Alligator mississippiensis: one gene and its partners. Each later gene encodes a partner of the first gene's protein in a complex. Links are inferred from orthologs where the notes say so. Each region holds a gene or a part of one and is shown in the gene's direction. Other genes may lie near its edges. The genes, in order: TAF11, TAF13, TAF8 and TAF4.

Evidence for each region.
Region 2: TAF11 (region 1) and TAF13 share a complex: the UniProt entries of both Homo sapiens proteins name them as parts of the TFIID basal transcription factor complex. The link is inferred for Alligator mississippiensis from reciprocal best matches to the Homo sapiens genes TAF11 and TAF13.
Region 3: TAF11 (region 1) and TAF8 share a complex: the UniProt entries of both Homo sapiens proteins name them as parts of the TFIID basal transcription factor complex. The link is inferred for Alligator mississippiensis from reciprocal best matches to the Homo sapiens genes TAF11 and TAF8.
Region 4: TAF11 (region 1) and TAF4 share a complex: the UniProt entries of both Homo sapiens proteins name them as parts of the TFIID basal transcription factor complex. The link is inferred for Alligator mississippiensis from reciprocal best matches to the Homo sapiens genes TAF11 and TAF4.

Annotation. Positions count from the first base shown.
Region 1 is NC_081837.1:36,973,756-36,981,772, forward strand, and holds the start of TAF11 (transcription initiation factor TFIID subunit 11), read left to right. Parts: upstream 1-4,993; 5' UTR 4,994-5,019; coding exon 5,020-5,217; intron 5,218-5,296; coding exon 5,297-5,445; intron 5,446-5,907; coding exon 5,908-5,982; intron 5,983-7,325; coding exon 7,326-7,413; intron 7,414-7,822; coding exon 7,823-7,919; intron 7,920-8,017. Other genes in the region: ANKS1A (ankyrin repeat and SAM domain-containing protein 1A), read right to left, coding at 1,377-1,555. UniProt on the Homo sapiens protein: The TFIID basal transcription factor complex plays a major role in the initiation of RNA polymerase II (Pol II)-dependent transcription.
Region 2 is NC_081824.1:247,510,371-247,518,257, forward strand, and holds the start of TAF13 (transcription initiation factor TFIID subunit 13), read left to right. Parts: upstream 1-4,843; 5' UTR 4,844-4,906; coding exon 4,907-4,933; intron 4,934-5,017; coding exon 5,018-5,096; intron 5,097-5,210; coding exon 5,211-5,308; intron 5,309-7,887. Other genes in the region: GTPBP8 (GTP-binding protein 8), read left to right, coding at 896-908. UniProt on the Homo sapiens protein: The TFIID basal transcription factor complex plays a major role in the initiation of RNA polymerase II (Pol II)-dependent transcription.
Region 3 is NC_081837.1:39,073,756-39,081,292, forward strand, and holds the start of TAF8 (transcription initiation factor TFIID subunit 8), read left to right. Parts: upstream 1-4,503; 5' UTR 4,504-4,589; coding exon 4,590-4,691; intron 4,692-5,369; coding exon 5,370-5,526; intron 5,527-6,426; coding exon 6,427-6,525; intron 6,526-6,936; coding exon 6,937-6,999; intron 7,000-7,537. UniProt on the Homo sapiens protein: The TFIID basal transcription factor complex plays a major role in the initiation of RNA polymerase II (Pol II)-dependent transcription.
Region 4 is NC_081832.1:5,994,185-6,002,115, forward strand, and holds the start of TAF4 (transcription initiation factor TFIID subunit 4), read left to right. Parts: upstream 1-4,931; 5' UTR 4,932-4,970; coding exon 4,971-5,295; intron 5,296-6,828; coding exon 6,829-7,931. UniProt on the Homo sapiens protein: The TFIID basal transcription factor complex plays a major role in the initiation of RNA polymerase II (Pol II)-dependent transcription.

The DNA of each region.
Region 1 (8,017 bases):
GAAAGAGTGCTGGGGTCAGATGATCCCAGCCATGTGCATGTCCGGTTTCAGGACATGGGCAAGTTGGTGGGAAAAAGTCTAATGTGGTAATTATTAACCAGGGGAACTCCAGCACCCTGGGTGCATTGCCTACCAAATCCGTCGAAAAACACTGTCCCCACTACTGAAAAGCCCATGTGTAACATGATGTACACGAGTTCTTCCAACAAGGTCAGTGAGACTTGTCATGCTGAACTGCTAAATGGTTGTAAAGTATGTCTCAGACCAGCAGAGACTCCTAATGCCTGACGAAAGGCGACTGTGCCTGAAAGCTTAATAAAAGATATCACATCTACCCAAAGAGCCTTATACCAACAACGACTACAACCAAAGACCCAGCAAATGGTCAGAAAGATGTTTAAAAATGGCTACAAACTCTTTTTTGGAAGGTGGGGGGGTTCAGGACTTGGGATAAGCTAAAAAAGGGCAAATTCACGCTGGACACAAGAAAAAAACCTTTTCCTTGCAACCGGAGATGATCCTGGCAGGGTGACGGGGCCCGGGGCAAATCCGTCCGTGCGGGGCCCGGGTGTCAAGAAGCCGGCAGAGGTGGTGGCAGGGAGCGGGGCGGTGGCGAGCGGCCGGACCTGAAGCCGGCGGTGGTGGCACAGAGTCACCAGCGCTGGGCAGGTCCTGCAGGAGGGGCCGCAGCCGCTAGGCTTGGCTCTGCGGGGTCCCCCAAAGTGGTCGCCCTGATTTACCCCCCCACCGGGACGGTCCTGCCCATAAGGGTCACCAGCGTCTGGTGCAGAGCAGAGGCGGTGCCATCGCCCCCCTTGCAGGTGTTCGAGAGGAGGCTGGACAAGCACCACGTTGAGCTCGTCCGAGCCCCGTCGCCTCCTGCCCACGGACTTGACGATCCCGCCGGTCCCTTCTGGTTCGATGGCCGTGGGTGGCAACGCGACGGGTCTCAACCAGGCAGCGTCCGGAGCCCCGCAGGTGTCTTGTCTTCCCTGCTTGTTGCGGGGGGGCCTGCACCCGACCATCTCCCCAGGTCCCTGCCGGCCCCTTGCCACCTACGACGATGTGCGGCGCTGGTGCCGCCCTGCGCGCGAACGGGGCTCTCCCGGCAGCCCCCCCAGACCCGAAAGCGGGACCCCGCTGGGTCCGAGTCCTCCCCACGGCAGGGGACATCGGGCTAAAGACCCTGGGGGAGCAAGGCGTGGGGAAGAGAGCGCGAGGCGAACCCGGCGGAGGGGACCCCGGATGCCGGACCTCCCCGGTCAGAAACACGTTAACGGGGGAGGGGCGGTCACCACGCGGGGAGGTCGGGGCGGGGGGGGGGGGGGGCGCGCACCGGGGGCCCCAACGGCCGTGGGCGGGAGGGGAGCGCCCACCTGAGGAGGCTGGAGAGCGGGTGCCCGCCGCCGCCGCCGCCCCCGGAGCCGCCGCCGCCTCCCGCGGAGCCGCCACCGGAGCCGAAGCCGGAGCTGAGGCGCTTGCCCGACAGCAGCTTCTCCACGGCGGGCAGGTTGCCGGTGCGCGCCGCCTCCAGCAGCTCCTGCTCCTTCCCCATGGTCCGGCCCGGCCCGGCCCCGCCGGCCGCCGCCTCCCGCCCCGCGCGTCCTTCCGGGGCGGGGCCCCGCGCGCCCCGCCCCCTCCAGCCAGACCGGCGGAGGCCACGCCCTCGCGCGGGGAGGGTTAAGCCGCGCTTCCACCGGGGCGGGGCCTCGCCTGGCCACGCCCCCACGCCGCGGGGAGCGGCGCGAAGCATTGGGTGGGCGGGGGCGAGATTGGCTCCACCCCCATGAGGAGGAGGGAAAGGGGTGGCCCCGCCCCCGAGTGGGCGGGGTGAGGGTGACAGCCTCCCTGCTCTTGGGGTAGGGGTAGTGGTAGGGGTAGGGGACCCGCTTGCCCCCAGCCAGGGTGAAGCTGCAGAGAGGGCAGAGGGAGAAGAAGGGCAACGGGCATCTTCTAGAGGTGCGGCCCAGCCCTGCCCGCCCGGGCACAGGGGCAACTTGAAGTGTGAAATACACCAGGAGGGGAAACTCTGTGTATCTGGGTCCATGAAGGCCGTTTTCCTTAAGCCCTCCCAGGGATGACTGTTCTTCTGGAGCGGTTTAGTACCCGCCGAGGTGTTGGGGCTTAAAGCCTGCTTTATGGAAATGGGAGGCTCCTCCCTTGCTTGCTCCTGCGCCATATGGCACAACTCGGGGGCATCCAAACCTTAAGGCTTGGGCCTGCATGTAGGATGCCTGCAGAAAGACTTTGGAAATATCTGAAGCCCCTGGTGGGGGTGGAGGATGTTTGCCAGTTGTAGGGCCACTTACGACTCACAGATTTGGACTTCATCTGGCTTGGAACATGAAAAATGTCTTTTAAAAAAAAAGTGAAATACACTAGGAGCGAGGGCATTGAAACCCCAGCGTGATCGCTTTGGCCAAGGGCACAGAGCTGTTGGCTGCAAGGGGGATCTCAGTGTTATCCCCGCTGAATCCCAGGTCTGGTGAGAGTGCAGTGGTGAAGACGGAAACCAGTGCCAGTGAGCGCGTCTCACAGAGACAAATGGCGTTCCCCTCTCCCTGCCTGGCCCAGTGCCATCTCACCCCAGAAAGTGCTTCCCAAACCCCAGCCCTCGTGCTAAGGGCAAGTGCTAGTCCCAGACATTAGCTCCAGAGCGAGTGTCCAATGCGTTTCTAGCCCTCCTGATCAGTGAATGAAATCTGACAGAAGACAACCAGGACGACATTTGCATACATTAATCATGGGGAGCAGTAATGATTTGGTTGATTGTCCCCCAAGAAGTGGCGTGGAAGCTAGAACACGGCTGACCCGCCACCCGAAACACAGGTAACCCCCACTCTGCTGGTGAAATGCTGGTATGTGAACACCTCTGCCCCTACATTCATTCTTAACAAACCACTCAGATCTTCCACATGAGATGATTTGGCGTGATCTAAACTCACCGCCAACGCGGGTGCTTGTGCTGACTGTGAATCAGCAGGGAAGTTGGCAAGTGAAGAAGCGAGGAGTCTGGACTCTGTCCAAAACCAGTTAGACCAAGTCCCTCCAGTTCAGGTCTGAGACACGACCGTAAACTAAGGCAGAAGAAATTAGAACTGATGCTGCTCAAACTGTACCGGATCTGTGGATAAAAGGGGGGCTTCCCTGTCAGTCTCACACCTTTTACCAGCGTTAAAACCACACTGGTTTTTTGTTTGTTCATTTTTAAGTGAGATCAGCCTCACTGGCCAATCCCCAAGGCATGCACAGGCTCTTTTTACTTTGTATTGCGTGGTCTCTACAGAGAGCTAGTAGCAGATCTAGATCTGCTAATACCATTTCAGTATTTCCATATTGTCACCTACTCTCGGACTTTCCCAGTCCCTAGTATGGGGTTATTTTAATGCTCAGGTAGTTTTCTCTGTCATGAATCACAGGCTTTCAGTCCTCATTTAGTAACGGGCCATCCCTACATTTAATTGATAGCTCTTTACATGCTTGATCTGTAATCCTTACACGTTCAAAACACAAAATATATTTCCTACACTGGTATTACTAAGAATAATCAAAACCATTAATGTTGGTACCATAATTCATTCCATCTGGGGCTCTTAAATAAATTAATTACTTCTCACAGTCTCCTTATGAGGTAGACATCATTACTCTTATTTCACAGATGGGGCTACTGAGACAGACAGGCTAAACATATTGCCCAAGGTCTCATGGAGAACAAAAAACAGATCTTCTGACTTCCAGTCCTGGACTGTAGCCACGAAGCCATCCTTCCCTAAACATATTTTTAAAAAGCCCTGAATAGGCTGTGTTTACCTTAAGGATTAATGCACAAAAATAATTGTAACATAGCTGAGGGACTGCCTTTTGTAAGGCAGGAAAGGGTTAACACTCACAAGAAAGAAGGAAGCCCTGATTTCAACTTGGTAAAAAGATACCTGACATCTGTCAGCATAATGAGACTCACACAGGAAAAGCTTCTGACTGAACTAGACACTCAACCAGCTAGTGTGCTGCTATTATAATGAAATGCAAATGAGATCTTTTATTGGTAGCAATCATAAAGAAGATAAGACTAGAAGTTTGATTTAAACTGGACATTAGCCTCATTAGCTAAGTGAATCTCTGAAAGTACCACCATATATCACAAAAAAGTTGGAATTAATTTTTCCCTAGTGATTTGTATTTGTTAAACATAAGGATACATCTACAGTCAAAAAGAGCAGCTCGTGGATAACAGGCAGGATCACAGCATGCTACAGAAATATAAGGATTACATTCAATCTAAACTAATCTTTCTTACACGTCCTAGTGCAGCCATCACCACTGCTTTTAGGTATCACTTCTACAAGACTTATGGTTGCCTAAGAAAGGACCACCTTCACTGCTCACAGGAACTTCCTTGCTTGTATCTGTCTCAGCAAAACTATATCCAGGTGAACGAAGAAAGTGTGCACTGTATACTTATTGACATACTTTGTGATGCCCTCTCTCTAGGGCAGTCTTTTGGGAGAAGGTGCCTCGCAGCTCGCACCGAAGCCCCGTCTACACGAGGAAATGGACTGGCTGAGGATTGTTGTCAACAGTCTCCATCCCTCTTCCTGCAACAGCGCTGACAAACCTTTTGCCATATTCTCACACCATTCACATCACGCTTGTTGGGCTCCCAGTGTCTGCCACAGAGAGGAGCTGAGAAAGGCAAACCAGCTCATCCTGTTCTGCTGCGGTAGGGAACGCCTCGACCAACAACCCCCGGCCTCAGCTACCTCCCAGTTCGTTCAGATTTGCACTCATGGCATTGCCCCAGGGCCCCTGCCCCAGTGCCCCCCCACCCCAGTGCACACCCCTCTGCCCCAGTGCAGATACCCTACCCCAGTGCCCTCCCCCCGACCACAGCGGCCCCTGGCGCAGGCAGCTGCGTTGCCATGGAGAGAAGCCCCACCCCCAGCAGAGTGGTGCTAGGGCGCTGGCGCGGTCGCCGGCTGATGACGCCATCAGCGCGCGCCACCCCCCCGCCCGGAAGCCATGGCGGAGCCCGTCGAGGCGGGCTGCGAGGAGCCGGTCTCGGCCCGCGACAGCCCGCCGCCCGCCTCGCCGCCCTCCGGCCCGGCGGCTGCGGCCGAGACCGCCGAGGAGCCGCAGGTTGCGGCCGAGACCGCCGAGGGGGAGGCGGCGGAGCCCGGCGCGGGGGCCGAGCCCAAGGTGGCCGCGCAGGCCGGGGAGGTGAGGCTGGGCGAGGCCCAGGGGGTGGGGGCGGGGGTGGCTCCGGGGACCCGAGCGAGCAGGCGCCGCTGTCTTGCAGGCGGCGCAGGGCCAAGAGGGCCCCGAGCTGGCCCCGGCCGACGCGGAGGACCCGTCGCTGCAGGCGGCCGCCAAGAAGATGAAGCTGGAGATGAAGGAGAAGAAGGACAAGAAGCAGAAGGTGGACGAGGACGAGATCCAGAAGATGCAGTACGTGTGGTGCGGGGGGACTCGTGCCGGAGGCCCTGGGGGTGGGGGTGGGTGCTTCCCTGGGCCTGGGGCTCCCTTTGCCCCCCTGGGGCGCGTCCACACGAGCGCGCACGTGCAGTTTGCGGCGCTGCAGATTTGATACCAGCGTGTCCTGGTATCCAGGAGAAAAAAAAAGCTGCCACAAAAAGCGGCGCGGCGCGTGTAACAGCAGCGTGCGCCGTTGGAAACGGAGCTGTGCTCCGCGCAGCTGGATGGGTGCCGCTGCTGCCCCAGGACCCAGTTTGCCGTGGGCTGGAGTGCGCGTGCAGGGGCGCGCCCTGGGGCACAAAGCAGCAGCGCAAATATATGCCACTGCTGCTTGTGCTGGGGCAAATGCACACCCCTGCATGTGGGAATGTGCTCCTGAAGGAACGTGGTGTCCATCTGCATGCAAAACTGAGCCTAATTGGGGCCCCTTTCTAGCTCCGCTGCACCCAGCCTCCTTCTGGAGAGAACCGTGGCCCCTGCTACACCTTACGTCTGTGACAGAGTGCACGGGTGAGTCGTGCAATAAATGTGGGCTGGCCACATGCACCAAGTCACGATCGCATGTTTTGCTGGCAGTAGATGTAGACCGGCCACACGTGCAAAGTCACGTTTGCCCCACAAAAGTGTCCATCCAGCTATAAAAAGAGCCAACCAGCTTGCAAATGTGTAATGACTCCGAGCTGGTTTTTATCCAGCTTTCATTTGAATGTGGAGCAGGGCCCTATCCTGAGACCCCATGTGTGCAGGTAGTGCTAGTTTTGTCCCGAAGGTAATAGTCATGGGGCCTTTGTATGCTTCTGCTCTTCACCAAGTCTCTTGTGCCACAATGAAAGAGAGATTGGGATAGTGTTCCCTTAAATGTCTAAGTTGCCCTAGCTTCTCTTACTGGGGGGTTAACTGAAGCTATGTGCATAGTTATTGCAGAGCAGCCAGCGCCTGATAAGTTTCTATCCCCTGTTAATAGCAAGTAGGAGAACAGCTTGTGCATCTGCAATTATACTGGGGTAAGTGAAAACTAAACCAGGGCAGTTTTGCCCTGTTGCATTCAAGGGTAAGCTGCCCTAGTTTAGATCTCACCATGGAGTAATGAGAGCACAAGGAGAGTTGCTGTGGAGCAGCTGCAGTGTGGTAAATCCATGCACACAAGTCCAGGCACATACCACGTGCCTTTAATAAACAAGAATAGAGATGTACCAGAAGGGCAGTAACTATTTGTTTGCCTGTAGGTAGAGGAGCTAAACTGCTGTGATTTAGTTCCCACTCACAGGGTTAATGCAGGCAGAGGGATAAGCTTAGCAGGGAGCAGCCACAGTAAAAGTCCTGTCTCTGTGAATTGTAGGCTAAGGGAATGTAAAGGTTTTGTAGGGCTTATGACTGTATGTGGGGGTGCAACCAACCCCTAGTCTTGGAACAGTTGCCCTAGCTTATGAATGTAACAGAACACCTTATACCACTATCATATCTTTATGATTTAAATGATGTGCATCCACTCCTGTGGCACTGTAAGGGGAACTACATCACTAAACTAAACCTGAATGCAGCTTCAGTGACTTTGTGCTCTCCTACCCAGGTCAAGTGAGCTAGATAGTAGTAAAATCAGAACAACCGATGCATGATCCTAAGCAGCAACTAGGTCACTTCCCCACCCCACATGCCCTTTGTAACACAGTAGAAAGTTGCATCTGTTTAGTGTCTCTGCTTCATAATGTTAGCTAAAGTGGTATATGCCTTTGAAGCAGCAGATGCTTTAGGATTAGTTAACTGATGTTAGGGATATGTTTGATATTTTTTTGAGGCTAAAGAAATTTTTTAAAATCGTTCTGCCATAAGGGCTAATTTCCTTTCTTCTTCAGAATACTGGTGTCTTCCTTTTCTGAAGAGCAGCTGAATCGCTATGAGATGTATCGTCGTTCTGCTTTTCCCAAGGCTGCTATTAAACGGGTAAGGCTCTGCTGATATTCAGGCTGCAGAGTGAGGGATCCCACTTATTGCACATGTAGAAATACAGAGCAAAATACATTCCTTTTCCTTTTCATGTCCTGAGAAATCTGTGAGTTCTGCTAAATGCTTTGTTGGAATCTGACAGGGATGTGCCATGAGCACTTCTGCTATGGCCTGTATGAAAGCAGTAGATTGAATGTCACTACAAGTCTGGTCAGTCTAAATAGATGAGATTTGAATGGCAGAAGAACTGCCAACCCACCTACCTTGTTACTTGCTTTTTAAGTTGGTTCCCATCCTCTACTCCCATTGACTTCAGTAGTTGTTGCTCAAACTTAATATTTTTTGGTTAGAATCTATAGTTATAGTGAAACTTCTCTTGGTTAATTGCATCTTCTCTTTTCTTAAGCTGATCCAGTCGATTACTGGCACCTCAGTCTCTCAGAATGTGGTTATTGCCATGTCTGGGATTTCCAAAGTCTTTGTTGGGGAGGTGGTAGAAGAAGGTGAGTAAAAGTGGAATATCTTGTAGGCAGAGCAAACTAAGCACTTACCCATTCACTTTAAACGAGTTTGCTTTTAAGGGACCTTTTGTCATGCCATC
Region 2 (7,887 bases), on another chromosome or scaffold:
TGGGTAGAAAGGTGGAATCTTTGGTTTAAATTATTCCTAGAACAGATTATTTTTCAGATTTCAATCATTATTAACTTCATTAAAATATTATTAACATATTTTATAAATGGTTTATATTTCCTTCCCTTCCTTCATATGAAGGCAGTCTTGAATGTGAATGCATACATTCTAGAATATATGGCTACAGCTGGAGGTGAGCAAGACCCTGAGCTCTTTGAGTCTTAAGCATAGCATCCTCCTTTCTTAGCTAGATCAAGAACATCATGTAGGTGTGTTTTTCCCCTCCAATTAGTCATTGCTTTCTAGATCTCTTTTATTGAGGAAATCAGGGGTACCACGTGGAATTCAAGCCTTCTGATAAATCCATTTAGTTCTAAGTTGAACAGGAATGCAAGTCTTGATTTAGTGAGGACAAGAAAAAAGCAAGCACAAAGCAGTCTTTCAGAACCATCCACCTAATTTTGATTGCAACAAGAGTTGACGGGACCCAACCACTTATATCAGGTGTAGGCATCAATTAAGTATGTAGATGTCACAGATGGTTTCAGTGGCTGAAATTTGAGAAGTTCTAGTAAAGATTTTTGTCCCCACTAAAATGAAAGTATTTATTTAATGCTGAATATTTCAAATATTTAAACAATTGACCATTTATAAGAACATCTATTTGTAAGAGACAGAATACTTCTAACCCGCCTTGCAGACCAACTGTGGAATTGGACATACAGGAGTTTCCCTGAGCATAATAAATCATTGGACAAGAACCTGGTTCCAATTCTTCTTCTGGAGCTAATGAACCAGCCCTACTTCAAACATCTGTAGCAAAACAGGTCAACCTCTGGCTATCCCCAGTCCACAGACTCCTGAAGGAGTACTTGATTTCTCATTCATCTTGCAGGAGTGTACTGTGACTGTCCACCCTGCTGGTTCTTGAACTCTGGAAGATGCACCACCAAGAAATGTGTCTGGTAGATGCACCAGATACATAGGCTGACTTCTTCCGTGTTTAGAAGGTGAAGGAAAGATCTCACCTTTGAGCATCAGATATCACAATAGATTTGTCAGTCATAATCTGAATATGGTGCTTCTGACGTGGTGTAGGAAATCCTGGATGCTTGCTGCCCTGCTTGGAAGTCCATTATGTTAATATGGAGCTTTGTCTCCTTGGAAGACGAGAGGCCTTGCATTTGGAGACTGCTGACTTATGCTTCATGCCCTAGTAGAGAAGTGTCTGCTGTGATGGTCACAAAGGAGTGGAAGAGGAGGAATGGGACCTGATGACTCTGAAACTCATGCTAAGCTTGGGCCTACTCACAAAACTTAAAATACAGAATAACGCTAACTGCGTATTGCAAGAGGATGCGAGTTCATGGCTAGGCCATCTAAGAAGGAATAATGAAGTATCTCTTCCAGCTTATCTTTCTATACTCAAAATGATTTCAGGCAGACTCTTAGTTGTCTGGTGTGTAACCATATGAAATGTCTATCCTTGATTAATTAGTATGGTAAATATTTTTTTTGCAACTAACTCGTGTTTATGTGCAGGAAGAGACATTCTCCATATGTAACAGATGTCTCCTCCTGATTTAGTATATTTTTCCTGGCTGTTAATCAATTTCTTGATATGTTTCAAACTGGATAACCTCTTGTTACTGAAGAAAGTAACTAATTTAAATTAGAAATTTCTGATAACCAGTAATGAGCAGGTTTTTCCTGTCAATTACTGCTTGGGACTCTCTCTTGATTTACACAACTAAAAGAATGCTTTGAAGATGCTAAACTAAGGGTATAAAAAGGCAGTAAAGCAGCAAACAGCGCACACTTCAAGAGTGAGAAATCTCTCTGACATCAGTTGCTGATGCGCCCAACTTACTTGAGAAGTTGAAGAGAAACAGACTGCCTTTTCGTTACCCATTTGGTGAAAAATCATCACCTTATAGCTAATTACTGGACTTTGATTTGGTTTGGGCTCACTTGACTTGATTTTAAATACTTGTAGTAAATAAAGCCTTTCTGTCACTCATCGAACGAGGTGTCAATCCCTGGGCTAGTCCAGAATCCTAGGTTTTTAATTGCTAACAGGACCCTCTACCAGCACGCCAGGGAGTATGCGACTATCAGACACATTTTTTAGGTCAGTCCTAGGGAGCATCCCATTAGGCAGTAAGCAGATCAAAGCCAAGACTGCCTACATCGGGGGGCACAATTATTTTGGGCAGAGAGCCATTTACTGAATTTTGGCAAGCCATCAAGGGCCACATGACAGGCAGCCCAGAGCAGATAAATACTAATTTTCTAAATTTTTTAGGGGCCCTGCGGGCTGGATAGAATGGCTTGGCGGGCTGCATTTGGCCCCTGGGCCACATTTTGCCCACCCCTGGCCTACATCCACATTATAGTCTGAGATGTAGCATTATGAAGGTGCTAGTCATTAAGTTGTCTCTTTTCTAGGATTCTTTGTACTACTATCTGGCTATTGGTCCCAACATCAAAACACTGGCTAACAGCTGTGCTCGCATCTGAGAGTTATTTTTATTACTTGTTTATTCACTTCCACTGTAATGTCAGTTTTGGGGGGGAAAAAACTGTGGGCCTTTCTGTACTAGCAGCAACAAACTACAGCGTTACCAGACAAGTATGTAATGTTGTGAACTATGAGAGACCTCTGTTCTTTCCAAAAAGCTTGAGAAACAGGTCAGTCGCGCACTAGAGGGAGACAGAATTTGGGGAAGAACAGACTATTCTTCATTGCTTGTCACATACTGGTCATGAAGTGGAAAGAGGGAGAGAGAAAAAGGATTGGCACTATGTTAACTGAGAGGAAGATCTTTTACCACTGAAATTACTACAGCATTGGTGTGAATTGTTGCTTTTTTTGTCAACAGAGAAATGTAATACTTATATACTTATTATTTTTAAATATATAAAATTAAGGTGTCTACCAAAAGAGTGAATGTGCATATGCTGGAAAGCTTTAACCAGTTCCATTGAGATTCTTGCTATGCAGGTCTGATTTTATGCTCCACATAGCAAGACTCAAAGGAGAAGTTCATAATAGGGAAGCCACTGTGTAAAGTGCAATATTAAATGACTGATGGCATATGGTTAAGAAACCCCAATACAAACTAGAAATTCCCCACCGAGCCACTCCCCTGCAGAATATGATCTTCTCTAGGTAATGGATGTATCGCAGGAAAAAACTATTTTGAACAGATACCACAAAGCATTGGACTTACTCTCTCCAAATGCCATGCAGTTCATTCACAGGTTCATAGAGATGTTCACTGACCCCATTCTCAAGGGTTTGTATTTTTCTGGTACTTATAGCTTGGCTGCACCTTTTTTCTCTTCCTCTTCAACTTCTTAAAGAATAAGCTTGTATTCAGAGCAGTGATATGTTACTCAGAACATACTTACAGCTGTTAGAGACCTAATCCTGACTGGAAGAGTGGACCTCTTGCCAGTAGATCAGCAGTTCTCAACCTCTTTAGACCAAGGGCTCCCCCTCAGAACATGCCAGCTCTTAGTTTTCACTCATTTTTGACAATATCAAAACAACAGAGCAGTCTCTGCCACAAGGAACTCAGAGGCCACGACAGGGCAGAATGGTTCGGACGCTCTGGATTCCTGTTTGCAATCTCTGGTCGATCTTGTGCAGCATGTCTGCACCCCGGCAGTGCTAACATTGTGTGGCACCCGGAAAAGGATCCCCAGGCACCCGTGTGCTACAGCACCCTGCTTGAGAATCACTGCAGTAGATGAATGCAGGCAGGCCCCGAGAACTTCCCCTCAGGAGATGATCGAACTGAGGCCCTGCAGAGAAGTAACAAGTTTCTCAACTAGTATAACCCCTGCCTAAAAATCCTAGATGTAAATAACTGCATGAAAAAGGTGGCAAGTAGTAGCACAGCTCACAAGCCCGGCTTGAGAGGGAGAAAAAATGCTGTTGGGCCAAAGTTCACGTAGGACAGCAGGCCTGGAGTGCCTAGAAATGATCCCCAAAGGAGTCAGTCTCTTCCAAGCAGCGTGTTGTGAGTTCTCCCCTCTGCTCGTCCCTCCTTGGGCTGGGCAGAGGGAAGCAGGGAAAGGCAGAAGGCTGGTTTAGCATGTTTAAATAGATTTTCACATTCTTTCCCAGTCAAGCCTGAATACCTTGTTTTCCACTTGTAGTTTCTCATGGGCTCTTGTCTAACATGGAGCTGTAAAAGTGTAGTCTGACATTGTGGAGTACAAGCGAAGCTGAAGGGACCTCAATGTAGGCCAGCAACAGGCACTACGTAGGTGGGGAAAACTGCAGGGGTTGATAGTTCCCAACTCATGAGATTTGGCCTCTCTTTATAAGAGGCACAGCACAAGTACAGCCAATATATAATCTAATTTTTAAATATTTTATTAAAAAAAATATTATAAAATATTTTAAGTTTAGTTAAAATAATTACTTTTTAAAAGTTAAAAAAATTAAGATTAAAAATTATGTTTAAAAAATTTTAAAATTAAATTTAAAAAAATGAAAAAGCACGTGTCTGTGCGTGCGTGCGGCGACACCCACGCCGCCCCGGCCCAGCCCAGCCTTGAGACTGCTCCGCTGTCCAACAAGCCGTACACCGAATTGGCGGCGCTAGCCAGCAGAAACCGGAAGTTCCATGGGAGTCAACGGAAGCCTCACACTGATGGGACAAAGGACGGGGGTGGGAAGATTTCGAGCCAGCGTCCGTACGGCAAAATGGCCGCGCGGGGAAGCATAAACCGGAAGTGTGGTGTGCGTAAGCGGAAACGTCCATGGAAGGGACGAAGAAAGGGGCGGAGCCCCGGTTGTAGTTCCTTACGAAATCATGGCGGCCCCCATAGCATCACCCGGAAGCTCTGCAGGCTAGGTCGGAAGTGGCGCGCAGCAGGCGGGCCGGGCATCATGGCCGACGAGGAGGAGGACGCGCCGGTGAGTGAGTGAGACATCCACGGGGAAGTGTGGGGAGAATGCTCTGGGCATGCAGTAACCCCTCCCGCCCTTTACCATCCGCAGTTCGAGGAAGACGCGGAGGAGGCGGGTGGCGGCCTGGACGGCGGGCAGGGCAAGCGCAAACGCCTCTTCTCCAAGGAGCGTGAGTACTGGGGCGTTCGCATGCGCGGGGGTGGGGGGCAGTTGGCCCTGTCAAGCTTGAGGCCCCGGCAGATGGTAACTGCGCGTGCGTGGCGTTCTCCCTTCCGTTCCCTAGTGCGCTGCATGATGTACGGCTTCGGGGACGACCAGAACCCCTACACCGAGGCCGTGGACATCCTGGAGGACCTGGTCATCGAGTTCATCACGGAGATGGTGCGTCTGTGCTGGCCCTGCCTGCCCCCCCGGGGGGGAGGGTACCCCGTCTGGGCGCGTGGGCCACCCTGCTGCAGCCTTGCACAACAGTGGGGAACCTGGCTTGCCAAAAGGAGTCTCATGAGGTTCAACAAGGACAAGTGCAAAGTCTTGCACTTAGGACAGAACAATCCCATGCACCGGTACAGGCTGGGGGCTGACTGCCTGGGCAGCAGCTCTGCAGAAAAGAACCTGGGGGTTTCAGTGGACAATAAGCTGAATATGAGCCAGCAGTGTGTTCTTGCTGCCAAGGCTAACAGCATACTGTGCCGCATTGGTAGGTGTGCTGCCAGCAGGGTATGGGAAGTGATTATTCCCCTCTATTCAGCACTGGTGAGGCCACCTCTGGAGTACTGTCTCCTGTTTTGGGACCCTACTACAGAAAGGATGTGGACAAATTGGAGTGAGTCCAGTGGAGGGCAACAAAATGGTGAGGGGACTGGGGGACATGACTTCTGAACAGAGGGTAAAGGAACTGGGCTTATTTAGCCTGCAGAAGAGAAGACTGAAAGGGGATTTAATAGTAGCCTTCAACTACCTGAAGGTTGGTTCCAAAGAGGATGAAGCTGGACTCTCAGCTGGACTTCTCAGTGGTGGCAGATGACAGAACAAGGAGCAGTGGTCTCAAGTTGCAGCAAGGGAGGTTTACGTTGTGTATTAGGTAGAATTTTCATACTAGAAAGGTAGTAAAATACTGGAATGGGTTACTTAGAGAAGTGGTGGAATCTGTATCCTTGGAGGTTTTTAAGACTTGCCTAGACAAAGCCTTGGCTGAGATAATCTAGTTGGGGGTGGTCCTGCCTTGAGCAGGGTGTTGGACTAGATGACCTCCTGAGGTCCCTTCCAACCCTCATCTTCTATGATACTATTGCATTAGGCCCCTTGGGTTGGTGAGATGCAACCTGTGACCTCCTGAGGTCCCTCCCAACCCTAATTGTCTATGATTTTTCTGTGATTTCAAGAGCCTTACTACAGACAAGTTCCCAGCAGTTCACAGTCCAGCATAGTGACTGTGCTTCCAAGAGAGAAAAGAGACGTGTGCATTGCAGTCCATGTTAGTTTTAAACGATACCTTTTAAAGAAATAAAAGTGTACGCCTCCTATGATGCTGATTTTCAGCCAGGGTGCCGCAAAGCTCCCTTAAGGGTTGCTGCACAATATTAGCACTTAGGTGTGACAGCACGTACCTGTGGTTCATAAAATAAACCTGGAGACCCACGTTTTTGCCTTCCCCCTGTAGCAGTAGGCATGGCTCTCTTCCTGGGATCCCTTGAGCATATATTGACAGCATTGCATAGAAGCAGGACCTTGTCTGCCATGGTTCCTCTGCTTTACCTGTGGTAGGTTAGGACAGGCGTTGTCAACCGGGGGTACTTGGGAAGGCCCTAGGGGGTATGCACAAGCGAGCAGGGATGGAGTGCCACCACTTCCCAGGAACAGGGCCAGGGTGGGGTAAGGGCAGAAATGCCCCTCTGTGGGCTGCACAGGCACCAGTTGTACATGGGGCGGGGGGGTGGGGAAGATTACGCACAGCAGCCATCGCTGCCACCCACCAGGCCACACTGCTGTCACTCTGCATCTGGCCATGCACGCGCACCCTCCCCCCCCCCCCCCCCCAGTTCCATGTCCACCTGCCAGGGGTACACTTATTTAAAAAGGTTGAAACCCCCTGGGTTAGGATGTTAGGTCTGTATTGTGTCCTAGTTGATGGTAGTCTTACATAGATATTAGATTATGGTTTGGATGGGTTTGATCCTGCCTCAGGCAGGGGGTTAGACTAGATGACCTCTAGAGGTCTCTTCCAGCCCCACTTCTCTCTGACTATAGTCTGTGACTTTGTGACGTGCTACCCTGTTGGCTTTCTGAGTTGTTTGCAGCAGCAGACCAGCTTTGCTATTTTCTGTAGTCAAAACTTAGAGGTGGGGGACAGGTTTCAAATCCGGTGGTTCTCAACCTTTTTGGACTCAAGCTACCCCTTCATCACTTGTGTGAATTTGAATGGCACCCATTTCAAAAACTAATTTATATATTACAGTTCTTACCCTGCCCTCCCTCCCTCCCTCCCCCCTTGCAGGGGGCCAGGCAGGGACAAGTCTGAGCCTGTGCTTATCTGCTTGTCTCTTCATATGTTGCTTATCCCCTCGCACCTTAGGGCACTTTTCAAAGGATCTAGCAGTATCTGAGAGTGCCCAGGCACCCTGGTTGAGAATCCCTGTTCTGTTCTAAGGCTGTGCCTTGAGCTGGATGAGGGGTGCCTTGAGTATAAAAAATGTTGAGAGGCACTGCTCTATGGGATGTGGATTCTGTTGCTCTTGTAAAAGAAGAATGTCCTGCTGTCATTGTCCAAGTGTTTTTGAGTGAAGTTGTCTAGCTCAGCAGTTTGTTTGTTTTTTAGATACCTGCACTATATGTACTGCATACTTGTTTCTCACTGCCTGATGCTTGCTATGCTCTGCTTCCCCAAATCAGTCTCTAGTTTAAGCCTGCTCTCCTACCTGTATAACTCTGGCTCGGGTGTCATCTACAAATAGGTCACATTT
Region 3 (7,537 bases), about 2.1 Mb from region 1:
TTCAGCTTCTGCTCTTAGAGGTTTTTGGTTAAACCTGACCCATTGCTTAGCTATGAGCAATAGTAGTGTGCTGGGCATTTGTTTTTTTTTGACCCAGACCACCTAAAGCTCTCACTCCAATTTCCACTCAATCGCACTGGGTCAGGGTCATGACAAGAGTTCACCAGCAGAACCCATCCTAAGCTACCAGTTCACAGCCCCCTGCAATCTGTACTCATAAGGATGCAGATTTTCAGACATGCCGAGTTCCCACAACTCCAGGAGGAAGCTGCAGGGGCTCTGAAAAAATCAGACCCCGTGTCTTTGGCAAGACAACAGACATCTCACGTTAGCCAGCTAACGGACAGAAAACCTGTCACGCCTTTGCTCCAGCGCTTCTGGGCAGACGTGCACACCTGCCTTTGGTGGAGAAATTACTGCGTCACTGCTCTGCCCGTCCTGTCACTATTTGCACAAGGGAATTCACACACACACCAAAAACTCTGCAGTGATATCGATCTTTAACAAGCAATCCGATCGTAAGTACCCACTTCACAGTATCTCCAGGTTTTTCAGTATAATTGCATTCAACCTGCCTTTCTCCAGTCAAGTTTTGCTGGTTGCCTAAGCTGACATGAGATCTCTCTCTCGCTCACTCCATTTCAAAGTATGCTTTTACAGTGATAAAGCAACCACATTAGCCTCCTACCTTTCTTGATGATCAACAAATTGACTTCTCCGGATGTTTTTCCTGTGAGCAATCCCAGCTTTCTCCTACTCCACCCCCTTCTTTTTCCGTACGTTGCTACTTGCGCTGCCATTGCTGCCCTAGCCAGAGCCGTGTGGAAGCTGCGTTATGATCTGAAAGTGAGATCAGGACCTTTAATTTCCAGCGTGGCAGCTGTTGTTTACATTCTTTTGTTTTTTTTTTTTTTTCAAAAACACACTTACTGGTCTCTGTGATGCTCTCGCTCTCCCACACATGTACTTAAACAGGAAACAAGGGGTGGGCGCTGCGGGAGGGGGGGGTTTCCTGTTCTATAGCTTCTGAAACACGTAACCGACTTTCTGATGTTTGCCAAAATTGAGATCAAAAGATGTGAACCCCTGAGAGAAGGGAAATTAAACTCCACTAAAAGCACACTGCTTACTAAGAGACAAAATCTGAGATGTTCCCCTCGTTAGATAAGCCCTAACAAGTGAGTTAGACTCTTCACGTGAGATTAAGAGGCATCCTTTGTAGATGCAAACTTTTTTCCTGTTGGGACACAAACTCAGCAGCACCATCTTTTGGCTGAGACAGAGATCCTGACCAGCCACGGCTATCAGAGATCCCGTGATGCTTCTTATTACAGCAAGGACATCATGTCCAAATCCTTACAACAAGGATGTCACGCCCGAATCAACGCTGCCAACGGGAGGTCATGCCCGAACCAACACTACCAACTGTTGAAACTTAGCTGACTTGGGGACGGTTACGTGACAACTGATGATCAGCACATAGTGCCCCTGCACCATATTTTAGGTAGTTCAGAAGACAGTATCTAGTTGAAACAGTGGAGGGGAATGGATGGTCTTATAGGCTAGAAGAAGGCAATTCCTCCGTTTCTGTCTGCACCATGAAGGATCTAAAAGGTATTTGCAGCTTGGATGAACACCAGGCAGTTTGCTGTGGCAGCGATGGTGGTAAAGAGATAAAGTTTTAGTGCGTGGTCACAGTACAACAGAAGAGATGGAATCAGCAGGGCTCAGCAGCAGCATTGGTGCTACCCTGTCCTGTGTAAAATAGACATGGGTGGATCTAGGATTTTGAAGAGGGAGACATCGATTGTGTTGCACACAGATAATACAACGCATCTTTTTTTCCTCCAGCTACAGAGAAACTAGAAGCTTGATTAATATACTAGGGTGCAAGCACAACATTATTCAGTTTAAGATCAAAGCAAAAAATAAATATAACCATTGGAATGTGCAGTGATTTGGTATATTATGTACCAGTTTAAGCACCCCCCCCCCCCAATCAAATTAGGCAAAAATCATCAAAATAGTCAAAGAAGATATTGATATTGTTGCTAGTGCCCTAGACATTATAGTTAAATGTCTCTCTCAGATGTCTCAGTCAGATTCATAAAACAAAATCTAGCTGTCTTGAGCATCTAAACAGCACCTCCAATACTTCACTGTCAGCTCCTTTTTACACCCGAGTTAATAGGACCACACCTGAGTTAAGGTATTTACCTAAACCTGAAAAGAGTCTGCAGGGCTGTGAAATAGGAGGCTGACATGACCAGGAACAGCAAACAGACAGCTCTACTGCGGAAAAAAAGATAGTTTGCATAGTGGACCATCAAGCCCATTAAAAGTGTTGGGGAGGGTCTTTAACACTGTGCAGAGAGATTAGCAGGAATCATAGAAAATGAGTGTTGGAAGGGATCTTAGGAAGTCACATCTAGTCCAACCCCCTGCTCAAAGCAGGACCAGCCCCAACTAGATCATCCCAGCCAAAGCTTTGCCTAGCCAAGTCTTGAAAGCCTCCAAGGATGGGAGTCCACCACCTCTCTGGGTAACCGGTTCCAAGGCTTTACTACTCTCCTGGTGAGAAATTTTTTCCTAATATCTAAACTTCCCCTTGCTGCAACTTGAGCCCATTCCTCCTTGTTCTGTCATCTGCCACCACTGAGATCAGTCCAGCTCCAGCCTCTTTGCAACCCCTCTGAAGGGAGATGAAGGCTGCTATTAAATCCTCTCAGTCTTCTGTAGACTAAAGAAACCCAGTTCCCTCAGCCTCTCCTCATAAACCATGTCCTCTGTAACAGGGGGCTTCCTCAGGGCCAGTCTACCAATGGCCCGCCCACCTGTTTCTGGGTCAACCAGCCGCCTCTTCGCCTGCCATGCCTTGATGATATACAATTGATATTAATTAGGTGGGAGGCTGACCATTTCTTGCCCTACACTGCAGCCCAAGCCTCGCAGATGGTATCCACAGTTGTTAACATCACCAGCCCTTCACTGGGCCCCAGAATCCTCGAATCCAAACTCCAACCGGATCCCTCCAATCAGGCGGCCTATTTCGCCCTCATTCTGGGCTGCCTAGCTCCCTGAACTTTTTCCCCTCTTGGGTGTGGTCCCCCCAGGACCTTTGGCCACACAGGCCCCGGCCTCACCTCCAAGACCAGTCAGAAACCTCAGGACCTCAGCACCAGGCAACCCTCGCGGTGGGCCCCTGGCCTCTTTTTACCGTTCTAGTCCTGGCCCCAGCACCGACCAGTCGAGGGTATTCCAAGTCAGTCTTCTGAGTCTATAGCCCACTCTCTAACCTGGGTCAGTCTTCTTGGCCCTACCATGGGGTAACCCACTTGGGTGTGGGAGCTGGGGTTATTAAGGTGCCCCAACCTGCCTTTCACCGGGGTGGTAACTGGGCTGGCATTTTCTGGGGGCTCCTGCACCACTGAGAGCCCCACCAGGCCACCCACTCCCAGCAGGGTGCAGCTTTAGGTCATGGCCAAGACCAGGAGCCTTCAAACCATCCCCTCAAGCTCCTGCCCTTCCCTCCAGGCTGCAACCTTGTAGCCAGGCAATGCTTCTGCCAAGCCTACCAACAGCAAACTGCTGTTTATATAGGTGGCCAGAGATCTAAAATGGCCACTGCAATCAAGCACCTGCTGGCTGCTTGGCTCAGCCCTTAAAGTGGCAGGCACCCACAGTGCACTGCCACATCCCTCAGCCCCCTCACCATTTTCATTGCCCTCCCCTGGACTCTCTCCAGTTTGCCCACATCCTTTCTGTAGTGGGGGCCCAATCAGGGAAACAGATGAGAAGAATTCATGAAGTTAGGGAGTGCAGCCTGATCAGACGGCTGGTGTTAAACTTTGGGTGCAGCAGGGCTCAAAGCAGGGTGCCACAGCACCGTGGCACCCCATGGACCCGCCCCTGGAACCGGATGGCTCTTAACGGGGTGCCTGAACCAGCCTTGTCCCTGCAGCTGAGCACTCGGGTCCACGCGGCGCTTTGCCCCCTGCTGCGACTGGCCGAGGGGCGCCGTCAGCTGTGTTTTGGTCCCACCGATGCCCCTGGATGAGGGTCCAGAGTCCAAGGGCACCAGTCCTGGGTGCATGTGGGGATGCCCAAGGGGAGCAGCCTCCATGAGAAGGGCTGCAGGCTCCTGGCTCAGGCTCCAGGCACACTTAGGCAGCTCCTGCACCCCCTAGGTGCCCTGCTCTCAGAGCCCAGGGCCGGAACTACAACTCCCAAGTTGCTCCGCGCGGCCGCGCATGCGCACAGCTGCGCTGGAGCCCAAGATGGCGGACACAGCGTCCGGCGGCTCGAGCACGGTAACTGCGGGGACGCGGCCCCCCACCAGCGGCTGAGCCCTGGGCCCAGACGGGCGGGGAACCGGCTCATCCTTCCCGGGGGATGGAGGCCGCCCGGTGCGGAGGCCTCGAGGCCTACTGCTAAGAACGGAAGGCTCTGATTGGCTGACGGGTGCGGGTGGGCGGGATTGAGACGGGGCTGTGGATTGGTCAAAGGTGCTTTGATCCGATTGGCCGCCGCTCCTGCCAATCAGAGGGGTGGGCTGCGGGTCACGTGGCTTGGTTTTAAAGGCACAGTGCATGGTGCTGGTTCCTCAGCAGAGCCTCCCTGGCAGAGGGCACGTGGGGCAGAGCAGGGCGGGGTGTCGCATGGATGGAGTCAGGGGCAGGAGGGCCCAGCAGGTAAAGCCAAGGCAGGGGCAGGATGCTTGGGTTCCCTTCCTGCTGGGGGTGCCTCAGTTTCCCTTCTGCCCCCTGGGGAAGCTGCACGCCCCCAGCTCTGGGGAAAGGTGATGTGGCCACCTGCAGCTCCCTGCTGCTGCCAGGGGCTGTGGAGGCACCGCCACCGCGGCGCCAGGACCTCCGACGCGCCAGCAGGAAGCCAAGCTGGACCCCAGGAGCCTCTGATCCAGGGAGGTCGGCAGTCTGCGGAGGGGAGACGAAAAGGACCCGTTGTGCGTCTTAAATCAGAGCTGGGGGGCTCAGCTTCCTCGTCCCTGGCTGTAACCGCTGCACCGTGCTGCCTCCGCCACGTTCCCTTTGCAGGCTGCCGCACCTGGGGGTGTCCCAGCCGCAGGTCTAGGGCTCGCTCAGTGCCCTGGGGCGGATGGTACGGAAGAATCGGCGTGATCTCCGACTTCCCCAAGCTTGTGTCCACGCTGCTCTTCTGTTAGATTGGAACAGAAGGGGGGATCCGAGACCAAGCCGGCATTATTTTGGCAATGCTTGGGTGCTTTGGGAAGCCTCCCGCCCTGCCATGGTTGTCTGGCACCTAGTGCAGTTGTTTTTCATTTCTAAGGACTCTCAAGGGGCTTCTCTGCATTAACACGCTCCTTTGGGGCGGGGACTCTGTTTCCACAGAGGTCGTGTGGCAAATACGCCACAACCCCCGCGGACAACTATTACCTGGCTCGGAGGAGGACCCTCCAGGTGGTGGTTAGCTCCTTGCTGACGGAAGCCGGGTTTGAGAGCGCTGAGAAGGCGGCGGTGGAAACGCTGACGGAAATGTTACAGAGCTGTAAGTGTTTAGTGGCACGGATGAAACTAGTTGTCAATACGGAGGTGAAATTTAGAGGGACCGGTGGAGTTTTGGAGAGCCGGAAAAAAGGGACCTTGTAATACCTGGTATCTCGCTGGAAAAACAAACGGGTGGCTCAGATGTGGTGACATTAATGTACCTAAGAGATCGCTGCTGAAGCTTTTCATTGGGTTGTCTTAATTACTTAGACAACAGTTTCTTCTAGGCATCCAGCTTGGATGCTTTTGTTTTTTATGCACTTGTAGTCGTTGGTGTCAGTGGAGGAACTGGCAAGAAGCATGGTCCAGTGGCTACAGCACTAGCCTGGTGTTGAGAAGATCTATACCCCAGTCCTTGCTTCACCATAAGCGTCCTCTGTGATCTTGAGCAAGTTGTTGATCAGAGCCCCTCTCCCAGTGACTTTGATGGCAGTTCATAAAAAAATCAATGGGAGTCAAGCAGCTAAATCTGTGACATCTGGTTTCATCTGTAAAATAGAGATAATTATCCTGCAGTACTGTACAGAGATGCTGTGAGCGTAAATATACAATAGAGTTTCAGGTGTTCAGATATTTCAGTAATGAAGACTGCACGTGTGGCTTTCTGACTTTTATGTGCCTGCCTCCTAGATCCACACATTGTTCTGTGTTGGCATCTTAGTGGAAGCTGCCAGGTTATTACATTATAGATCTGTCTGCAAGGCCATTGCTGGTCAGAGTGCATTTTTAACCAGAGACCTAAAAAAAGGAAGCAGTAAGATTTGTGTGTCCTTTCTGAAGTACTTGGAAGGGATCTCTGCAGATCATCTCCAGACTACATATCTGAAGCCAGAATTAGGCTGCTGTATACTGGTAAATGATTGTTTCATGTATCAGTTTTCTGGGCCATGTCTTTTCCCAGATGTTTCAGAAATTGGAAGGAGCGCCAAGTCCTACTGCGAACACACAGCAAGGACTCAGCCGACCCTCTCGGATATTGTTGTTACCTTGGTCGAGATGGGTGAGTGACACGCATACAGTGGTTCTCATGGAGCTGAAGTTGAGGAGATGGGGAGAGAGTGTTTCTTCTGTCCTCAGCCTTCGTGGAATTAGAACGTGGCTTGTTGGACCTCAGTTGCCCTGCCGAGCTGCAGCATTGCCTTCCCTGTAGTTGATGGGGGGTGTGAAAAATGCCTCAATCCCTGGATCAGGAGCACTGCAGCATAGAGCCGGATGGCTGGGAGTTGGGGAGGGAGCAGTGGAGAGAGTGCTTTTTCATCACTGGCAGACCCTTAGCATGAAGTTGAGATCTCAAATAGAAAATGCACCTTCTAGGCCCATGCTGTCAGGGCAGGCACCCTTCGTGCTTTCTTTACCCATGAGTCATTTTATCGAGCATGATGTGATTTCACTGTATCCTTCTGCCTTTCAGGGTTCAACGTGGACACTCTTCCTGCATATGCCAAGCGCTCCCAGAGGATGGTCATCACTGCACGTACGTGGGGGTATCCTTCCAGCAAGGAAGAAACCAACGGGTGCAGTCCCAAACCACCTTAGATAAGTAGATCAAAGCAATGAAAGTAGATGGAAATTGTAATGAGAGGGGCCATCTGAGGTTAGAGTCAGTTGAAAAAATGAGATATGAAATAAAGGTCTGATTTACTGAGTAATCAATAAAACGTTCCCAGGGATTTTTTTTAAATAAACGATTTTAACAAATAAAATCCTCTCTTCCAATGCTTGCCCAGCATATTGCAGAGGTCAGGAACTGGGCAGGAACCAGAAGGCAAAATGAACCAAAATTAACAGCAAACACAACTGTAAAACTGATTCATGTTTTTAAGGACTCCAACAAGGGAACTCAAGTATGCACAAGTAATTCAGTGATTGTAAAGCTGTTGATGTTCTTTCAGTCTTGAGGACCTTCAGATCTTGGCTTTAGGAAACTTCCAAAACCTGTGCTTGAATGCTCACGTATTCCGTGCTCTGCCAGCCCCTCCGTGTGCATCCAAAGAGCATCTGGTTTTCGAAGG
Region 4 (7,931 bases), on another chromosome or scaffold:
TTCCCATGCTTTACTACCCTGCTCATGAGAGAGTTTTTCCTAATATCCAACTGTAATGGGGCCCTTACCCCATTACTAGAATGGGTAGAGTATCTGGGGGTACCTCGCCTTTTTCTCTCTTGTTGTTTATGTGTTGGCCAGTACATCCTTTCCCCAGTAGAGGTCCCTTTCCCCTGGTTTTCTGGTTGCATGGATGTGATTTCTTGCTTCCTTTCACTTCACCTTGTTGTCTCTTCTGCCTGTGCCCCAGAGGCAAACTCACAGGCAGTGGAACCCTGATGACCAGTGGCAGGGGAAGCCTGATGATCTGGGTTTGCTGTTCACCATGGAAAAATGTGGTAAAACCCAGATTTTCTTATCTTAAGGAGGAAAAACCTGGATTTTATCCTTTTAAAGAAGAAAAATGCAGAAAATGGTGGGTTTCCTCTTGCAGGCTAGCAGGGTTCCAGCCTGCAAGGGGCTGGGGGGAGCAGGAGGAAGGTGGTCGAGCAGCAGGCCCCATGTGCATGTACACATGCAGCCTAGAGAGCAGCTCCTGCAGGTAAATCTAGCAGAGAGTGGAATTGAGGGTGCCATAGAGAGGGGGTGAGTTAAAAAGGGCTGGGGCTGCTGCTCAGTGGAGGTGGTATGTGGGGCTCAGGGCCTGGGGCTGGAGTGGGTGGCTGCAGGGCCCTGGTGGGGAGTGGGATGGAGCCGCAGGTAGCTTGTCTAGGGGGCAGCAGGTGTGGGGAAGGCACTCCTAAGGGGGCATGGGGGGGCACAAGCCCCCCAGATTTGTGTGCAGGACCTGGCACAGTGGGGAATCTTGATGCCACTGCCACGAGCCCCACACTGCCATGGCGATGTGTCCCCTGTCTGCCTGGCGGTAGCAGGGGTGGTGGTGTGGAGTTGTGCCTCTTGCTGCTGCTGAGTGGGCAGAGGACATTGCTGGGGGGTAGGTAGTTGCAGACCCGGGTCCATGGCCCTGTAGCTCTGGCAGTTGGGTCCCTCTCCAACAGGGCCAGGGGGCTGTAGGTGGGAAGTGAGGAGCACCAAGAGGGCTAGGGGGTTGGGCATGAGGGGCAATGGCATGGGCAAATCACCAGCATATCAGGGCTGTTTTAGCACCACAAAGCAGTGGGTGGAGGAGAGGGATGGTCACTGCTGGACCCATGTCCTGGTGAGCAAAAGAGGTAGGGGAAGCTCTGATTTTTTTTTCACAGTTAAAAAACCTAAAATCAAATGCCAAACTTTATAGGCATTTAGAATTTATTTTATTGTAGTGACTGAGGTACTGGAAGGCTTCGAAATTGCTTAAAAGCTGTAAATATATCAATAAATCATTGTGTTCTACTGATACCTATATATAGCGGCATTTCCTATTAATCATGGGAAAACATGGATTTTAGGGTTTTTAATCGGAGAATTTGCAAGTGCATTTTAATCGGAGAATTTGCCATTTTTAAACAGGGAAAACCAGGATCCCTGCCAGTGATCCCAGGAGGGGAAGTAGAGGGGCCATGTGACCCAGGGAGCCCTATATAAGCCCAAGCTTCAGGCCAGCTGTGGAAGCCATCCGGGATGGAGCCTTCCCTGGGAGGTGTGGAGACTGGAGCCCAGACTCTGGAGAGAGGACTTGGGGGGGGGGGGGGGGGGGCAGCGCTGAGTGAAGAGAAGCTGGGAGCCTGCATAGAAAGAAAGCTAAGTACCACTGGGACTTCCTGTTTTGCTTTCTTTTCTACTTGGAGCCTGCCACCAAGAGGTGGGGCGATTCCGTGTGGGGCGTTCTTTTGAACTGGGACTGGTGCTTGCATTTTGTGGTTTTCATTCCTCTCCCTCCTTCCCTACCCTGTCCCCGAGGACTGGGTTGTGGGGGGGGGGGGAGGGACTGGGGGACCCTGAATTTGCACTGAGTTGACAGAGGACAAGGACTAGAGTGTGTTCTGTGGCTGAATGAGGCCAAGCTTGCCTGGACTGTAAAGATGAATGTTTAAAGTATGTTTGGTGGCCATAGGAGGCCAAGATTGTCTGGACTATAAGGCAGGAGGTGGCAGGGGAAAAACGGGATGCCAGGCCCCTAGCGCCTACATAGTGGATTGCAGAGGCTGGAACCTGAGGTTGTGGGTTGTGACCAGAGCTGACCCAGGAACTTGCAGCTCTGAATGGTGGGCCCCAAGCTAGAGGGCTGAGGGAGAGTAAAATCAGGACAAGGCCATGAGGGAGCCTTGGACCAGACGGGGCCCACCTCTACAAAAGCATGTTTCACCCTCTGTGCAGCCTCCCCCCCACTAATGTTAACATCAAAGGCATGGCAGTTGAGACTACTGACTAGGGGAAAGATGGGTGTTTATATGTATGACTCTTTTTATTAATGTACATGTTAGACAGAGTTTCATTAGTTTTTATTGAAATGTTGTATGGCAGCTAGCTAGTATAGTAGATGTTCCATATGATACGGTAAGAAGTATTAATACTACAAACATTTGGAAATGAATCATAGCAATCTTAATCATTGTATGGTCTGGCTCACAATGAAGGTTCTCTCTGTCCAAGAGTTCTGCTAATTCTCCCCCAACATGACCATCTCCTACCTTTTGAACTTCTTAATCTCTTCTGCTCTTTTTTTGTCCAGCTGTGACCCTCTTGTCCTTTAGTCATTCCCTCTGTCCCTATTGCTGTGTTTAGTTCTTCCTTCACATGAGCTCTTCTCTCTTGCTGTGCCCCTCTGTCATTCTAATCCATGGTGCATGTGTAGCCAAATGCAGCCCAAGCAGCTAAAGGAGCAGAAAAAGTGACTTTTGGTCATCTTTGTCATCCTAGGGCTAATCAGGACTGTTCTGGCTTTCATCTGGAAGAATTTGTCCTTGAGGAGTCATTTTGGCAGTTGGTGCAGCCTGTGAATTGCTATCCTGTTATTGTTCAGTTATGCATGGACAGATAGCCTTCTCTTGGAGTCACTAAAGTTGACAGAACTTAACTGAGGATAAAGGCAGCAGCATGGGAGAGAAGTGACATGAGCTGTAGAAGTGGTGGTCCTGCATTTCAGGAGCTGGGCAACAAGGCTTCATGGGATGTGTGTGTAGGATACAGCAGCTGCACTAGTGTAGTTCAACTAGTATTGACAAAAAGTGCAAGTTGAGAACCCTGTAATTAGAAACAGGTCCTTTTCCTTGCTGCTTTCTACCAGGTGCTGAGCAGGATAACTGAGGAAAGCTTGTAACAGTAATGAATGAAAACAAGGATAAAGGATAGTTATAATGGCTGAACATGTTGGTTACACAAGGGGAATTTAGACACGGGGATTTAATAAGGTTTTAAATGTTGGGAGGAGGGAGGCAACTGCTTCAAGTTTTAATGACTTGTTTTGAGGCGATAAGAATTTCAAGAAAGGCCAATTGCTCCGATTCTCATTCATAGTGCAAAACTCTTCATGGGAGAGAAGAATAAACTGTCTCCAGCTTTATTAACAGGGGAAAAGAGAGTTTGGAACTAGACGAGCAGCAATATTAGGATGCATATTAAAATATTAGGAATACATGGGTTATATTTTGCATGAGTGCTGTGTGTCCCTGGAGACTCGGGGGCGGAGGGCACAGACCACCTGCAGGTGGCCCCCTCTGGGGTGGGTGGTGGTGGGGAGCACCAACCAGTGGTTGGCAACCACCTGCAGATGCCGCTGGCAGCATTGGCAGTAACCAGTGTGTTTCAGGGACTGCCCATAGATGCTGCTAGCAGTGTCGGTGATGAATGATGATTAGAGTCCTAAGACCAATATTAGTGGTAATGTATTGACCTGAGAGACCATTTCCCTAAAGCTGTTGACTCCCACCTCCTTCCCCTCTTTTCCACCGGTGTCAATAGGTGGCTTGACTCTGTGGTAGACTGTCCAGTAGATGTTTAAGGGAAGACTTTTTCTTTTTCCTGTCTCTCTCATCTCTTCTCCCACCAACTCCTAAACACTGAGTGCTGAACTTCAGCAAACCAGAGTCCAAGCTAAGCAATGTTGCAGAGGCCAACACAAGACTTGTCCATACCACCTTTGGGCCACGACCAGCAGGCCAGGCTCCATCTGTCTGCTTTAAATAAGCTAAAAGGTATTATTGGGGAGGGGGGAAACTGTTGCAACACATCCCTTTGCCTCTGCAGCCTAGAAGCATCCATTTGGACAAGGCGCTGGCAGCGTTTGCTCCTCCCAAAAGGCTGATGCTTTCTTTAAATATTCCTCTGTGGGCCATTTTTTTTTTTTTTCAGGGGTTTCAATCCAGACTTACAAGCGCAAAAAAAAAAAAAAAAAAAAAAAGCAGCTGCTCTCGACTTGCCTCCGGTCTCCTTCTAGCTACCCCCACCCCCAGCACCGCATCCAGCCTGGAAGGACCCATTCGCTCCTCCCAAAAGACAGCATCAGCCTGTGGGCCACTTCACAACACCCCCCCCCCCCAAAAAAAATTTGTGCATGGAAAGGCTGGATTGAGCTCCCGCTTGAACTAGAGGGAGATTGGAGGCAACCCCAGCATCCCTCCCTCCCGGGCCCTATTGTTAGGTTGCAGAAGCGGCCTTGTCGCGGATCCGGAGTCACTCCGGAGCTGCCCTCCTCTCAGCGCCGGGCTTCTCTTCACCCCTCCTTTCCTCACAGGTGCGGCGCCCTTCAGCCTCGCAGCCATTTTGGGCTCGGCCAGACAAAGAGCACCCCCCACCCTCCCTCCTTCCCTCCCCGCCACCGCGCCCCCCTCCCTCCCGCCCCCTCCAGCTCCCGCCGGGCCGCCGCCGCCCGGCTCCCGACTAAACCCCCGCAGCCATTTGCGCGGCCTTTTATAGGCGCGGGCGGGCCAATGAGCGCGCGGCGGAATCCCGGCGGGCGCGCCTGCGCAGGGGGCGCGGGGGGCGGGGCCGGGCGGCGCGCGCGGGGGGAGGGGAGGGGCGGGGCGGGTCAGGGGAGGAGTGTGAGGGGAGGGGGGAGGGCGCCCAGCGCACAGGAACCCTCCAAAAAAAAGATGGCGGCGGGCTCGGATCTGCTGGATGAGGTTTTCCTGAACACGGAGGTGGACGAGAAGGTGGTGAGCGACCTGGTGGGCTCCCTGGAGTCGCAGCTGGCGGCCTCCGCCCACCACCACCCGCCCCACAAGGCGCAGGAGCCGCTGCGGGCCGCCGGGGGGCTGCTGGGGAACCATGTTGTGAGCGGCAGCGGCAGCGGCGGCAGCAGCCCGAGCCCCAGCCCGGCGGGAGCGGGAGCAGGAGGCGGCGGCGGCGGCGGCGCCCATGTCCACAGCGAGGGCGGAGGCAAGATGGGGCTCAGCGCCCCCGAGGTCCCCAAAGCAGGTAGGGAGGGACAGGGCTTCCCCCCTGCCCCTGAGGGCTCTGGCAGGGGGACCCCCCCACTTTTCAGGCCCCCCCCCGGGGGTGGCAGCGGGGGGAGCCTCCTGCCGGCCCCCCTCGCACTCCAGCGCTCCCCCCGGCTGCTGGAGTGCCAGGGGGGGTTATTAATCATGACACCTATTTCCTGTATGGGAGGAAGCCGGGTGGGGGGGTTCAAGGAGGAGGGTGTCCCCCCCCACCCCCCCCACGCACCATCTGCATCTGTCTGGGTGTCCCCCCGTCGCCCGCCTCTTCTCGCAGGAGCCTGGAGGGGGGCATTCGACACCTCTCATTCCTCCTTTCCCCTCAAGAGGGTGTTCTTGCAACGTCAGGTCCCGGCGTGGAGGTGGTGGTGGTGGCAATGGGGGGGGGTGCACCCCACCTTCCTCGCCTTCCCGCCGGCTTTGGGACTGGGGGGTGGAGGGGGGGGTCGGTGTTCGTCACGACGCGAGGTCTCCGTTGGTGGGGGATGGTGGCGTGTAAGATGTTGTTTTTTTTTTTTTTGAGGGAGGGAAAATGTTGTCTTGTGCTTCTTGTCGCCTCCTCACCACCCCCACCCCCCTCTTTTTTGTGTGTGTGTGTGTGTGTGTTTTTTCCTTCTGCTAAGAGGTCGTTGCTATTAAATCAAAGCAGCGGGGATTGCGGGGGAGGGTCCCCCATACGATGCGCCTCTTAGTGTATCTGTCAGTGACTGCCCCGTTCCCATTTCTCTCTCTTTTTAATGCAGGACCTGAAGTATCTAAGCTGGGGTTAGTCATAATACCAGGCCTTGCCAAGGGGCATGAAGAGCTCTGGGGGCAAGAAGCTGCATCATAATGGTCCTTCTCAGTGCCAGCATCTACCTTCTCTTCTTTACGATTTTACTTTATTGTTATGGTTTTGGTTCTCGGGTTCCCGTAACCATAAAGAGCAGATCCCGTCCGCTCTTTCTCCTAAGAGCTTTCCCCTTGTCAGGCTGTCGGTTCTCTCGTCCCCACCTCCTCTTCTTGCAGTAGTTGAACTAGATGCTCCAGCAACTAGCTGCCAGTCTGGCAGCTGATAGGATGAGGAGGGTAGCCCACATCAGGTGTACAAGGCATGGGGAATACACCTTATTAATGGATTTCCCAGGCTCTCTGTCTCGCCTTCAGTTTTTTTTCCCCCTTATAGTTGCAGGATCTGAAGTTATTAGACATAATGTCAGTCCCTAGAATGAAAGAGAAATAGGTTGAAGGAAAAGAAACATTTCCCCAGTCATGGTCTGTATTGTATCCTATCAGGCGTCTGATTTCCCTTCTTGGTGCAAGTGGGCGTTATAATTAATAACGCTGCTAATGGGAGACTAGGGGGCCTTGGGATTCACTGGCTTGTAGCTCTTCTTCCTCTGCATATGCTCACCCCTGTTTCTTATTGCAGGCAGCATGTGGGGGAAAAAGGCTGCTTGGGGGGAGAATGCTTCCCATGCTTCTGTTGTCTCCTGCGCATTCTCTTCTTGTAACCTCCTTCTCGTTGTTGCAGGAGCTGGAGGAGTGCAAGGGGGTGTTATTAACCATAACACCAGGTCCCAGAGTTCAGCTCTGGATGGAGCCACAACGACCAGCACCAGCACCACCACTGCAGCAGCTACAGCAGCAGCTGCAGGAGGAGGAGGAGGATCTGAAGTTACTGCTGCTCCAGGGACCCTCAGTCAGGGCAAATCGGTGGTTATCAGCACCATGGCAACCTCCTTGTCCACCAGGAATGGCAAAATTGGGACCACAACCGTGCAAACTTTGAATGGGAGTAATGTGGTGATGAACTCTCACCACTCCGGAAGTGCTGCTTTCTCTGGGACTCCTGCAACTGCTAATCCTGCTTCTGCACCTGCTGTTGCCCCTCTAGTTAACAATGGACCTGGATCGGTGGGGAAAGCAAATACTGTTAATGCTGTTTTGCCATCAGCTTCCAGCACTGTCATCCAGACTTCTTTCCTCAGCACTGCTGTGTCCTCTGCCTCTTCGTCACCCACAGTGATCTCCTCACAGCCACCACCAAGCATTGGAAGCGGGGGGGCTACTGTAGCACTGGTGAGGCCACCGATTCATACAGCAGGACCCACGGTTGCTGCAGCTGCTGCAGCCACCCAGAATGGGAGCAATACTGTGATCAATTCAACCATCAGTGTGGGGAATTTTCCTGCTGTTGCTGCAGCCACTGTGGGATCTGGAGTTGCCCTCCAGACATCGCTTGTGAACAGCCAGCCTGGTTCCAGTGTGCCGGCAGCCCCCACCACGCAGGTCATCAAATCGGAGTCTCCTAAAACTATAGTGCAGGCAGTATCCCAACAGCAGACACTGGCTGCTAGTGGCCAGCCCAGTACTACAGGGGGTAACATGATCATTGGGCAAACTATGCAAGCTGGGCTCTCTAATGTGGCCCCCAATCCTGGTGGGATACCTCCAGCAGCTCCTGGTACTCCTACGGGGATGGCTAAGGGCACTGCCAATACAGTGGCACAAAATCTGCCAAGGACTCCAGCAGCAACGACAAGTGGTATCAGAGCAACTTTGACTCCTACAGTTTTAGCACCTCGTCTGCCTCAGCCACCTCAGAATCCAACTAATATTCAGAACTTTCAGTTG